Linked DNA regions of Mus musculus: region 2 is reported to be linked to region 1. Evidence: microRNA targets listed by miRTarBase, many of them from high-throughput screens and not tested one by one. Region 1 holds a microRNA gene; the other region holds the end of a gene's coding sequence.
What was found. The annotated mature microRNA mmu-miR-1839-5p reads AAGGUAGAUAGAACAGGUCUUG and lies in region 1 at 2,262-2,283, opposite strand. An mRNA with a match to its seed (bases 2 to 7 or 8) in the 3' UTR can be bound and repressed. Matches are read on the target gene's strand: a 7mer-m8 pairs with bases 2 to 8, a 7mer-A1 pairs with bases 2 to 7 and ends in A, and an 8mer does both.

Region 2: miRTarBase lists Azi2 as a target of mmu-miR-1839-5p. The part of its 3' UTR that is shown has no 7-base or 8-base seed match.

The regions. Positions count from the first base shown.
Region 1 is chr7:81,528,670-81,532,201 of GRCm38, reverse strand. Mir1839 (microRNA 1839) reads right to left here and starts at 2,286; the gene lies at 2,214-2,286. 2900076A07Rik (RIKEN cDNA 2900076A07 gene) reads right to left here. Exons shown (of 4, transcript NR_160675.1): 2 at 3,262-3,415; 3 at 2,675-2,855; 4 at 704-991.
Region 2 is chr9:118,061,786-118,064,785 of GRCm38, reverse strand. Azi2 (5-azacytidine induced gene 2) reads right to left here. Exons shown (of 8, transcript NM_013727.4): 8 at 1-3,000. The coding sequence ends at 2,660. It overlaps Cmc1 (COX assembly mitochondrial protein 1), which reads left to right. Exons shown (of 4, transcript NM_026442.3): 4 at 1-264. Among named protein-coding and RNA genes, the nearest start is that of Gm51660, 10 kb to the left of the region's middle.

The DNA.
Region 1 (3,532 bases):
ACTGTAGCCAGCAGCTCTTGGGTGCCCTGCCTCACTGTCTTCAGCTAAGGACCATGGTGCCTGTCTCCACCAGCTCCATTGCTGGCTCCCCTGTTCACATTTCCAATCCCCAACTCAAGTCACTGTCAAAGCTTAGCACTCCAGCTGCAGAGTAATAACTTCACTTGAGAAAAACCAGGACACTGTTGAGTACCAAGTCCCCTGATGCCGCCAACGCAGGTGTGTCCTACTCACTGCCCAGGGAGACACTCTTCTCTTTAGAATTTTGTTTTCTAGCCCACCCTAATTCTGATGCAGTAACAACTCTCGTCTCCTTCTGGACTCTACTAGTGCAAGCAGCAGCTCAGATTCCTGATTTATCACTTGCCCACAGAGCTTGTCTGTCTGTCTGTGTCTCTCTGTCTCTCTTTCTCACACACACACACACACACACACACACACACACACACACACACACACACACAACTTCTTCTTACCCTGACATAAGGCACTGCAGATGTAAACACAAGCTGGCTGAAGCTGTTAATGAAATATGCATGTGTATTTAGTGAAAGAAGTTCTCTACTACTGAAATAGAAACCACCAAATGGGAAACGTGGATCACAGGCATGGGCAGTTTGAGTTGTCTACTGGGATTCCTGCACTGCTTTGCACATAACACAAATATGGGGACATGACTAAAACATAATACCCAAAAAATTTTGATAGTTTTTTTTTTATTTAACAAGATATCTTTGACATTTAAAATTTACTGGAGTAAGGGATAACCAACTTCAAGCATCACAGTTACTAACCATAAAGAACTTTGTTTAAGCATGTTATCTTTAGGAAGAAAAATAAATCTTAAAAAAAAAAAATGAGGGGGGAAACCCTGCTGGGTCTGTGATATATTCCAAGTCCTTATAATCCCATGTAGAAGCTGATGAAACTCAATTTCAAACAGGGGCAAGGTTTACCTCATGGCCATGTGCAGCTGCAACCTCTGATAAATCTGTTAAAACACAAAACAGATAAACATTTAAAAACATTTTTTTATATGTGAGTATCTGTATGTTTGTTTGAGATAGGGTCTCACTATGTAGCCCTGGGGGGCCTATAACTCGGCCAGGCTAGCCTTGAACTCCACGCTCAACATAGAAAAGTATCTTTAACACTGAGACCACTGTCACACGACCCTGATACTAAGCAGATAAACCAAACTCCATCAACATCCGCTCTTCTCCCGCTTTACCTGCCCCACCGCGTTAACTCTTGACTGAGTGAGCGCACGGGTGTTGGCTCCACACCCTAGCAAAGGGGAGAGAGTCTGTAAAGCCTTCACAGGACGTGGGTGGAAACTGCAAGCATTTAAAAGCCACACTACCCAGAACATAACAAGTAGCAGAGAGAAGGAACAAGTAGTTAGGAACATGGGCTATAAAACAGCATTGGCTTCTGGTAAACTAAATAGCTTTCATTCACAGAATTACTTTTTTTGTTTTGGACTTTGTTGGTGGTGGTGGCTATTTGGTTTGGGTTTTTTGAGACAGTGTCTCACCAGGTAGCCCAAGATGACCTTACACTTGTGGCAAGCCTCCTGCTTCAGCTTCTCAAATGCTGAGATTACATGCATGAGCCACTATAAATGGCAAAAAATTGGTATGTTTAATGGCTGGCTCCTGGGGCTGGTAAGGGTACTTGTTACCAAACCTGAGGACCTGAGTTCAATCCCCAAATCCGACACCATGGAAGGAGAGTTGTCTTTGAACTTCATGTGTGCCACGGCACATAAGCCCCCTCTTCACTCTTCATCACACACACACACACACATACACACACACACACATATCAGCTCCCTGCCTTTTCAAATGATGGTAATCACTTGTGCACATGAAATAAAATATTTCTGAAGCGTGTACTTGCCCTTTAGTACAAACAGAACCAGTTTATGGGCAGCTGGGCGTCTCAGCGTCTCACCCTCACATCTGGTACAACTACTGCCCTACGTGACCCACCTACAATTCATTGTGATGCAGAATTGTGTAAGTGACAATACACTTTTTGGATTCCTCAAACCTGCATTATAGGAAACAAGTTCTCAACTTTCTAACCCGCCTGTCTGACCTCCAAGCACCTTTCTATCACTAGTAGAGACTGTGTCCACTCTGGCTTTCCCAGCCTTCCTCATCTAGGAGTTCACTGCACCCACTTCTTGTAGGAAGACTGTGGGACGTAGGCAATGGCTGTTGGTAGATAAGTAGGTCTTGAATTTATTTTGCAAACAAGACCTGTTCTATCTACCTTTTCATGTAGGAGGCTAAAGGCAGAGTCAGCTTGACTTCAAGGACTCTATTGTCTTAGTCTCCAGAAGAATATGACTAAATCCACCTATTGTTTTAACTGAGCATGCCTGGAATCCCAGAACTTAGAAGGTAGAGTCAGGAAGATCAAGGGTTCAAGGTAATCCTATGCTCAATAGCAAGTCTAAAGCCAGCCTGTGCTGCATGAGACCCTGTCTGAAGAAACTAAACTAGAAGTTAGGCATGCTGGCTCAACCCTGTAATCTTGGCACTTAGCAGGCTGAAGCAGGAGGACTGCCAAGTCTAAGTCAGGACAACAAAATGAGACCCCAGTCTTAAACCCTTGTGTTACAGACAAGATCTTTAAGAGCCATGAACGCTGAAGACATGCTTACCTTACTGTCAATGGTTAACAGAGCTAAACGCAAGGCAACAGTTTGCCTGTCGGTATCTGCCATCAGCAAGGAGAGTACCCATGACATGGCACCATTGCCACCAAAAGAACCGCTGCTGCCTGGGTCCTGTCAGTTCACTGTGTGCCACCACATCACTGTTGGTTTTCTGCTGACACCAATCCTGGAATAAATGAGGTTAGACTCACCGTTTGACTTTCCTTCCTTTTCTCAAGCTCTAACAGAATATGGTTTCTCGTGTTCTCACTTACTCAAATTTGGCAGAACTAACCCATCATTTTTTTATAAATTATTTTTCCATAAGCCGCCAGCATTTTGCCTCTGCCATTTCCTTGCACATGGCAAACATTAATCTAAGGGGAGAGAAGCAGCAAGAGCGAAACAGGAAGTGAAAACAAGGCCGGCACACTGGGAAAAGTGTAAGACTCCGTACTGTCTTATTACCATGTACACTGTATAAGCCATCAACTAGGAGATCCCTAACACCTACAGCGCAGCTCCTCCTGTCCTCCTGATGGCTCTAAATCACCTCTGAGACGCACTGGCTGACTCCCACCTCTCACACTCACCGTTTACAGAACACTCAAGTGTTGATATTGCGACCACTGGCTTGTGTCTTCTCCACTTGAATTACACACATCTAAGGCATGGGTGTGGCTGCATATTCTCTGCATGACCCAAGGCAACAACTGCCCTGGGCTTTCAGGTAATACATATATATACCTGAAGAGAGAAATGAGACATCAACTTATCCCACAAATCAAAGGAAAGCTTTTCCATTAGAAATCAAAGCAGCCGTCCAGTGTATGCTCTTGGGGCTGTGGGATGAGGCTAAGTTGT
Region 2 (3,000 bases), not on the chromosome of region 1:
GCCATCAGAGGCTTATGTGAAAACAGATGAGATTTGGTGAATTATTTTACTGAAACCTTTGACAGAAAAGTTTCTGCATTGTTTCTTGATCTTTTGAACTTGGCTACTGAAAATACTGTATAATCTTGGATTTTAAGAAGTTGGCATTGTTAGTGTGAACTTCTGTTTTGTGATATTGGGGGTTTGGGAGGAACTGTGGTAAGTTTCTCTTTTAGTGTGTTACCCTAGTCTGAGCTTTTTATATTAAAAACTATTTTAAAAAAACCAGGAAGGCAAGATTTAACTTTGGCTCCAATCCTATGAAAAAAATTTCTCATTCAAATGAAATGAACCTAGTCAATGAATGCATGTTCAAGCTTCACAGTGTACTCACCAAAGAACTACTTTACTTTTGTTTGAAACTCAAAGAACCCATTCTCCCAAAGCACAGATCAACAGAAGGTGACTGGAGGCCAAGCAGAGCAAACTCAGGAAGATACTGCAGCACGGGGAAAGGCCAAGCAGCCCATTATCTCTGCGCTGGCCTTGTTGGCACTGGCACATTTCTATTGGACAGGGCTACAGTTGTTTTCAGTGACTCAAAGAAAAGGTACAGTTACTACAAGAAGCCAGTGACATAGTAACAAGATTTCTGTTGTGTGTCTCGAAACCAGTAGGTACTAGATAAACTGTGTTCCCATTCACCGCTTGCCTGACTAGTGTACCTGCTGCAGATGTGTCTTTGGATCCCCGGTTTTTACAGGTTCATGGGGCAGTTCTATTTTGGCGTTGGCTCAATACAATAAAGGACCAAGAGGAAGGAGCATGTGGCTACTGTCGGTTGTGTCCTAATATTAATGAGTTACAGGTGAGCTTAATTAGATTTAGGGAAGCTTGTTGGGGTTGTCAGCTAGTATGAAAAGGACCAACGGGACTGTCAATTTTAATGAATCACAAAATACAGCTGTTACCATTGACTAAGTATATATTTAAACATTTTCTGACCAGGTAAGAATATTTTAGGGTTTCTCTTTTCTAGCTAAGGAGTCTTACACAAGCTTTTAACACTTTGACTGTTAACACCCATCAGACTGTTCTAGCAATCCTTTTTGATAACGGTTACTACTAGTTAGAGGGGATTCCCTCCATTCAGAGTATGTTGGAGAAATAAAATTAATACCAGACTTTGGAAATATACATAGGCAAGGACAGTATTTCACATCCAATTCCATTTTAAAAACAAAAATAATTTTAATTAAAACAATTTCTTGGCATTGTTCAAAAACATTATAAGACTCTCTTTACAAAAGAAAACTTCTCATCTTGGTTTGAAAAAAAGCAAACCATTAAGCTACATCAGTCCTAAGATGATGGACAGCCTCCGCAGTCACACGAGAACTGCGTTTGCTTTCTTATTACACAGTCAGTTAGTGCCTTCAGCTAGAGCCTGGGCTTGTGTATTTGTTTTATGCATATTGGGTCTTGTTGTATTACTTGGCAGGAGCCTGTACTCCCTCGAGTCAGCTGTGTTCATTGGTCAGAACACATTCCAGTATCTGACATCAATTCCATTAATCACGGACAGGCATGAGTAAGTGACTGAGATAACTCAACAGTGAACAGTGCCTGGCTATGCATTCTATTCAGTGATACAAGGTCAGAGATCCTCTGAATTCAAGATACATGAAATGGCACTTAGAAAAGGATAAAGTCTTCTTACATCAAACAGGTAATACATGATTACTAATACTCTTAATGCTTCCACCTTGAAAAAATTTAGATGAATTTCCACATGAAGCCATCTTTGTTATTTCTTTACTTATTTACAAGTGATTGGGCACTTAGAATGAGTTGGGATATTTCACAATTGTACAGCACAAGATTTAGTTCTAGATGCAGCTAATTAGCATTTACTTTCTCAAATGTCATATCTAACAGTGTGTAAGCTGCTCTGTGTAAAACAAATAGCTGTCCTGCTGAAAATGACCACACGGGAGGTTCACTACACATCACTGAAGAGACTGCCCTGTGAGATGCTCTTTCTTCTTTTAACTGGACATTGTATAAGGTTATAATAGTTTATTCACATACCACATCATTTTTAACTATTTAGGATTTAAATATACTGGGAAAAAGTTGGCTTCAATAGTCATTAATTCAAGTCTTAGAATTCAAATTGCACTTTAAATTTGTATATACAAACATTTTACTTAAAAATGATTTTAAATCTTAAAACTTGAAACAATAGCATAGAGATGTCATAACCTACTTTTATTCCATTATATTTCAAATCTTTATGTATCAGGAATTTACAGAAGCTCAACCTACTCTTACTTGCTTCTTGATACAATCTAAACCAGCAGACATGTTTTTTCTTTTATACTAAAGGCTGCTTTTTATTTAATGATTGGATATTTAGGCAGGTCACATACTTTATAAAACCATGCCTAAAATTTTCATTTCCACTCTATCCAAGAAGCAAAAATGTATAATTGTTATCAAAGGTACAACTGGAGGTTCCCATACTGGAAAATCAATTACATATATAATGTTATACAGAATGTACAAATGTACATACTGGAGAACTGCACAAGCCATCAATCAAAGTCCACTTTCAGTTTGAACAATCTCTTGGGAGAACCCCTGAGTCCGTGTCTTCCTGATCAAATCACAAGTGAAATTAACTTTTGTAAAGGCAGTTCTGATTCTGTTGATCCAGGTAATGCAGTGGCGGCAGGTTGGATAAAGGTAAGATTTTGCTTTTATTTTCACCAAATGCTGTCTCACTTGATTTAGGAGGGCTTGGGAATACCCAGGAATTATCTTCCAGAGAATTTCTCCCATAGGAGCTGTGCTCTGGAAAGTCTGCACCGTCATTAGGAACCAATCTCTCGTTATCTGTCCATGACTGAAGAACTGCTTTGTCTGAGAAAACCTTTCTATCTCCTGGTAAAGGGGAAGACGGAGCATAACAAGGAGCTTTGCCATTTGGTGACAAAGAGGGATGTCTTTTGTAAGTTG